Linked DNA regions of Schizosaccharomyces pombe. Changing the gene in region 1 together with any one later gene gives a genetic interaction. Each region holds a gene or a part of one and is shown on either strand. Other genes may lie near its edges.

What was found.
Region 2: mutations in vrg4 (region 1) and alg5 are lethal when combined (synthetic lethality), as found in Schizosaccharomyces pombe (one study listed by BioGRID).

The regions. Positions count from the first base shown.
Region 1 is NC_003424.3:4,688,024-4,691,781, reverse strand, and holds the start of vrg4 (GDP-mannose transporter Vrg4), read right to left. Parts: upstream 1,642-3,758; 5' UTR 1,613-1,641; coding exon 575-1,612; 3' UTR 1-574. Other genes in the region: SPOM_SPAC144.17C (6-phosphofructo-2-kinase), read left to right, coding at 2,951-3,269, 3,320-3,758. UniProt on the Schizosaccharomyces pombe protein: Involved in the import of GDP-mannose from the cytoplasm into the Golgi lumen.
Region 2 is NC_003423.3:4,090,047-4,093,804, forward strand, and holds alg5 (dolichyl-phosphate beta-glucosyltransferase Alg5), read left to right. Parts: upstream 1-2,110; 5' UTR 2,111-2,281; coding exon 2,282-2,338; exon of another isoform or gene 2,339-2,493; coding exon 2,494-3,405; 3' UTR 3,406-3,706; downstream 3,707-3,758. Other genes in the region: homoserine O-acetyltransferase Met6, read right to left, coding at 1-780.

The sequences.
Region 1 (3,758 bases):
GTAGGTTTTTGCCTACTGAAAGGTGACGGCCTATGAAAACTTTTAGCACGATACATTTCGTTAACTTAGCTATCGTATTTGTATTTATTACAGTATTTCAATAATATACAAAAAAACAAATAATTTTTTGGAGGTAAAATATTAGTAAAATTGAATCACTAAACAATTCGACTCCAAGCGGCTGACAAACATTCAACCAATAGTTTAGAAGCTCAGTAAAAGGAAACGAAGACATAAGAACATTAGACGTCCTTTTTCCATCGGAGAGCATTTTAAAGAAAGAAATGATATTTAGAAAAAAAAAGCAAATGATTTAGGAAATGAAATAATAGAGGTCTAAAAATTGTAATTGAATGTCAGTGTTTTATCTGTCAAAATATTTCAAACCTAATAGTCACGTTGTAATAAACGACACGATCTCGTAATCAGGTTTTTATCGAACACGAGTAAAAGCGGTATATTTTGAGTAACGGTAATAAAAACTTTTTAAGTAAAAAGAAACAAAGTCTATTCTCTTATGCAGGCTTGAAAAAATTTTGCAAATTAAACATAAATAATAACCAACACAAAGGGTTTAAGACTTTGACAGACTATCGCGCATGCTTTGAGAACTAGCACTAACGGGATTATGAGTCATAGGGAGGATGGTAGCAGGATCTTTCTGACGTTGCTGTTGAGATTTAGCAACGGCATAAACAACACCAGAAATAAAGCCCAACAAAATAGCGGTAACAGATCCAAAAGTGATGGGTGCATCAAAAAACACTAAACCGGCAATAGCCAAGGGAAGTTTGTTAAGAGCACCAACCATACTATAAGTTGTCGAAGAAGTTACGCGTACACACCAGGCAGAGGTGTAAGAAATTCCTACTGAAGAAACACCACTAATAGCCATAGCCATTAGAACACCAAATTTGGCATCAGGAGGGAAATTTTGAGCAATGTTTTCAGCACTCCAGTCCTCAGTAAAGAGCGTGCAGATAACCAAAACAGGGATACTGAGTAAGTTGTTATAAAACATGGTATCAAAGTCACGAAAGTTGGTAAGTTTGATACGCTTACGCATCGCGAGAACAAAAGCAGCATTTGTGAGACAGTTAAGCACCATCCATAAATAGCCAGAATTTAAGGTTTGGGAAGCAAATGAGGAAGACTGGATGTCTGCCCAAGCAGCGACAATAGAAGAAAGAACCATTAATCCAAAAGAAAAAAGAGTTAAAGCAGTAACATGCCCGCCAAACCAAAGGACCTCACCATAAGCAATGATAATAATAGTTAAATTCTTAAATATAGTGTACACTGGAACAGAAAGAAATTGCAAAGCCTTCGATGCAGTATAAATCATAGCTACCAATAAAAAGGAAATAGGAAACCAAAATTTGGCCTCACGAAAATCAAAATCCCTATAATTAATAACTTTCAAACGTTTTAGTATCCCAATGGCTGCTACACAAACAGTGGATTGTACAGTCAAAAGGAGAAAGTTCATATTGTAACCAGGACTCGAAAGAACATATTTATTGGTCAAAGTCATCAATATGGAAGCCATGCAATATGACACCACTGGAAGAATCGGTGATTTACTAATTCGGTTTAGCATATGATTATCCATTGTTGTTGGAATTTCGTGATGGCTCCGGTGAAGTTGTCTACATACCTACCCACCATGTTTGGAAGGAGCGCGTACGTAACAGGCCTTACCCTTCCTCAAAGACACAGTCCATTGGTAACAAGTTTTGGCATACAGATTGATTAACATCTCTGTTGATCAAACTTAAATAACTTGGTCTTCTCATATAAAATATAATTATTTAAATACTTTTTTGTTCATCTATAAAAGAGTATTTTCGCCTGCAAGCCACACTTAATGTTACACCAATTCATATGTTTTACAACAAAGTATGAGCATTTACTGTAAAAGCTGTGTTTGAATTGTTGTGAAATTCCTTAGTGTATGAAGATCGTTTTCCAGTCGAAGTCGATCATATATAAAGTCGCGATGCAGATACATATACAATTTAAGCATTTGTTGGAACTAGAGAGGCAAGGGAATTGACTCATATTATAATAGATGATTGGAGTATAACCGTATAGACAATGACCTTTCTACATGGATCTTTCGTTTCGTTCAATTGGACTATAAATTTATAAACGAATGCAATGTGGGCTACTTACAAACGCTTTTTCGTAGATAATAGTCTAGTCTTTAAACCATAATAGCTATTAAGACGTTATTTCAAAAGTAAAAGTGCAGAAAGAAGTGTTGACGCAGAGAAGACGATTGATGAAGTACAACTATAAAATAATATACATGCGTTTAGGTACTCGCATGTTTTAATCATGGAATTGGCTAAAAAAATCTATGAGTTGTTGGGAAGTGTTCAGTAATTCTCAATGCCACTTTCAATAATCAAAAATCAACTGAACTTGCAAATGCAAAACATGTAGTATAAGTATGCGAAAATACCCCACCATTAGAAAGCTACGCATCTTAAACTCCTATGGGCGTTTCCAATTGCAGATATGTACGGTATATTAGGGCACGCTTAACTTTGCTAAAAATTAATTAACGAAGTGCAACCACAGATGTATTGCGTAAAGCACTACCGATGTTTAGCCATCCGTCTTAAACGAGCATTGTGCCCATATCAATTGTAAGAAGCTCTTCTCTGTATATAAGCAGTCGACCTCTTGCAAACCGCAGTTTTTAGTAGGAATTGGTATTACACTCATTGTAAACAACATTCTGCATATTTCACCTTTGTGGAAATCATTTATCAAAATACCCACATACAAGGCACACATTGTAAACATTGTGGTTGCAAAGGATTTAAGTACATTTCAATCAGATTTTGGACCTTCCTATTTAATTTATAAATAATTTATATATAATCGCATATATTATATTAAAACTCTAATTATAAACAGCTTGCTTTGATTAGACGTTGCGATGTCGCGCAGAAATTCAATTGCGGTTGAGCAGGCAATCAATCCAAACATGCTTCGCGCTGCCAATCGAAGCTCTGAAGCCTTACTCGATAATGAAAAGTTTGGAGGTGTGCAACCCTACAGTACAGAGAGCGGTATGCTCTTTCATGCCGGAAAGCTCGTAATCATCATGTCTGGCTTACCGGCTAGAGGCAAGTCTAATATTGCTGTGTCGATAGACAGATATCTGAGGTGGTTGGGATTTAATTGTAGATTTTACAGTCTTGCGAAATACATAGACGAACGCACTAGGGAAATGACTAGTTCGCCTGTGAAATCTGGTAAGCTGAAACTATAGTCGACGTTTTGTACCTTTGCTAACTTATAACAGCTGCATCAGAAAATCATGTTTTTAGTAGGAATGACACAATTGAGAGATGTTTAGCAGACTTAGAGATTTTTTTACTTAAAGAGAAAGGTCAGGTTGCTATTTACGATGCAACAAATGGTACTAGACGTACACGTCGTATTTTATATGATAGGTTCAAGAATTGCGGGTTTAAAATCTTGTTTATTGAAAGTCTGTGCAATAAAGAGGATGTCATCAATGCGAATATTCAAGAAGCAATTCATGTTTCTGAGGAATTTCGAAATTGGGATTTGGAGATGGCCGAAAAAGAATATTGTCGTCGAATTGATATTCTCAAATGCCATTATGAAACCATTGATGAAAAGGACTATTCCTTTGTTAAAATGATTAATTTTGCTGAAACCATCATCGCAAACAAAAGTAATGAAGGTTACCTATTGTCTAGAATACTGTTCCTTCT
Region 2 (3,758 bases), on another chromosome or scaffold:
ATAGGGGTGACGAGACGCATCAGGAACAGTACGGGCAAAGCGACGTTCGAAAGAACATTTGGAGCGATATGTCAACAAGGCAGACATACGAGCAGCTCCAAGGCCACTTACAGGCTGATCGTCTATGCCGTAGTATCCATCATTAAACTTAGGGTCAGAATATATACTCTGGCGTTGCGCTTCAGACCAGCTAATGCACCACGCGGAATGACGAAGAGAGGTAGAAATGGGAACAATTGATCGCACAAATTCCTTATCAAATGCCCACTCCAAAACCAGCATACCACCCATGGAGCCACCTACTGCCATAGCAATTTGCTTTACACCCAATCTTTGTAAAATAAGTTTATGGATGTTTACATCATCACGTATGGTTGCTAAAGGAAATTCTGGCCCATAAACACTATGAGTCTCAGCGTTCCATGTAACAGGAGAGGCGCTTCCGTATGGGCTACCAAGAGAATTAAGGCATACGATAAAGAAATGTGATGGATCAAACGCACGACCAGGACCGAGTAAAGGACCCCACCAATCTCCAGCATCAGCAGAACCACTTAAAGCATGACAAAGAAGAAGACAATTGTTTCCTTCTTTATTCAAAGTACCCCAAGTCTTGAAGGCAACGGGAACATCGTAAAGGATGTCGCCACACTCCAACGTAAATTTGGGAACAATTGCAATTTTTTGATCTGAAATAAGCTGAACAAATTTATTTTCTTGCTGAGACGGATGACAGGAGTCAGTAAAGACAATTGATTCAATCGGAGATTGAGATTCCATTTTTATCAAACGATTGATAGTCAAATTTTGAAAAAATGAAAGAAACTAAATTTTTTGATAGAACTGAGTTCTCAAAGATGTAACTAACAAAACTCAATGGTAGGAGTTTTAAATAACCAAAAAAAAATTTTTTGACAAAAGCAGATTAGTGTAAGGTTTAACACAAAGAATGAATTACTTGCTTTTGTGTTGAGTAAGCAAATACAATTAGCTTCTCTTCTTTTAAGCGTGAAAAACAAAAAATCGAAAAACCAGAAAGTTTTTACGAAAAAAAACCAAAACTAACGGTATTGCGCAGCAATAAAAATTTTAGGTTTTTTAGTACCAGGAACGGTAAGCAACTATATTTGCTAATTTGTTAAATTCCAAAGTTACCCAAAAACACTTGAATACCAAGATTTTTTTTCCTATTCGGTTATGGTGAAAGGAGAAGTGGTAAGTTTATAAACTTTTATCTCAACCTAATTTAACGGTCTGCTTAGTATTTTGTTAGACAACATTAATTGAACGGTAATCAATAACCGAGTTTGGTATACGGGTACTTCATAATATGCTATTCAAACAACGAGACTTTTTTGTTATCTTATATAAATATAACAGTTTTAACCGTAATTTCAGTAAAATCATGTATGAAAAGGATGAATTTATTAAAAAAATTACAAAGGCTAATGTTTTATAAAAAGTCATTTCATGGATCAGGACTCTGCGAGATCAACTTTCGAAGATAAACGAATCGATAAGGAAAAGGTGTAATAATGTTAAATAAACAGGCGCTTGGTCTAAATAATGATTACTTGCTAGTTTCCTTAAATTTACAATTAATTGACTTGAAGCCAATTTTAAACAAGTGTTTTCAACGTTAAGTGTTTTAGTTTATCAATTTACAAATGAAGGAATACTCAAGACATATTTTATGACCCAGCCAAACCTGTAGTTCATCCTATTCAAAAAGGTTAAGGCAATTGAACAACTTGCGCCCTTAATACTAAGTAGCCGTAAGATATATCATACGATGTTCCATGAAAAAATATTTATATCCACGCAGAATTACAGTCATGTAAGTTTTTTAGGAAAGAGTAAAGGCACCTATTCTTTTAATACAATGTCTCCCAAATAGTCAAAATAATTATATAATTATAACAAGTATGCTTGACTTTTGTGATCTATCAGAAGTTGAGCAACAATGAGAGTCTATTGTAATCGATATGTCTATGCTTAATTGCTTGTAAAAGTAGACATTTTAAGTTGTTGACTGCTACTCACCAACTCGTACTAAAAAATTCGTCTGCTATGACTAAACGATTACTGTTGTCCAGTCCAGTCGGCAGTTAGCCAGAGCCAAACACAAATAATCCCACCGCATGCTTTGTAACTGCAAAAGCTCGGATTTCATTAAAAAATAGCTTAGAGTATAAACGGAGTGGAGTAATTTTTTTTTTGAATGAGTTATTTCTTCCAATATCATAAATCTTAACCCTTCTGCTTTTTGCATAGTTACGACATGGTAGTATACATCGTTTTATACACCTGCCTTGCGGGATTTATCCTTTTGTTCTTGGTAAGCAATATTAGCTAGCATGCTTCTCATTCATGTCCACCCGTCGGTAAATAAGGTCGTTGCGGGCAGAACCTGTTTAGTTTATCTGTACTTTCGATTTTTTGATGTGACATTAGACCAAATTTTTCCCCGAATATTCATTAACCCAAATATAGGTTTACTATTATTTAACTCATTCTCATTGCCCGAGGAAGCAACTGGAAGGAGAGGAAACATGTGTATTCATTGAGAACGGTCAAAAAAAAAGTTTGACTCTTGAGAAGTGGAGCACTTCTGATAATATACAAATAACGGTCATTGTTCCCGCGTATAATGAGTCTAAACGAATCGGAAACATGCTCCAAGAGACAGTCGATCACTTGGAAAAATATTATCGTTCCTCTTCTTCAGCAGGACAACGTCGGTGGGAGATCCTTATAGTTGACGACGAGAGTAAGGATACGACGGTGAATGCAGTGCTAGAGTTTTCTAACAAACTGGATTTGCGGGATCATTTACGAGTTTGCTCACTCAAACGGAATCGTGGTAAAGGCGGTGCGGTAACTTGGGGCATGTTGTACGCTAGAGGTCAATATGCAATTTTTGCTGATGCAGATGGTGCTTCTCAATTTTCTGATTTGGAGCTCCTTTTTAAAAATATGCCACCCGGACCAAGGGGTGGTGTCGTTGTTGGCTCGCGTGCTCATATGGTGAACACGGCTGCAGTAGTAAAGCGCTCATTTATTAGGAACTTTTTGATGCACTGTTTTCACAAACTTTTACAAATCTTAGGGATCAGGGAGATTGGCGATACGCAATGTGGCTTCAAGCTTTTTTCTCGTGAGGCATATCAAAGTATTTTCCCTCGTATGCATGTTGAAGGATGGATTTTTGATATTGAAGTATTAACACTTGCTCGTTTTTTCGGTTTACCTATCATTGAAGTTCCCATTACTTGGCATGAAGTTGGCGGTAGTAAAATGACTCTCTTGAAAGACAGTATTTCAATGGCAATCGATTTGTTGGTAATTCGGTTGAACTATACATTTGGTATATGGGAAAGGCCCTCGGCTAAGCGTATTACTTAATTGGACGTATTGTTGTGGATGTTATTGTTCATTATACATTTTTCCTGAGATATAATTAAATTATGAGAGATACATAAGAATTTTTAGGCGGTTCGTTTCCTATTACTCTTTGTTCCTTTTTTATTGATTGTTTTATCTCCAAGCGGAATATTCTATCTTTGAGTAAGCGATTTTCTACTTGCTCGATTTTTTTTCAATGTTGTAAATACTTCTCATTTCCCCATATATGTACTTATGACGTTCTTTTTATGAAAAATTACTTGACTAATAAATTTACTAATTAAATTCTTTTTAATATTCACAGTTCGTGGTAGTAAGGAACATAATAGATGTATTGTTATTATTACGCAGCT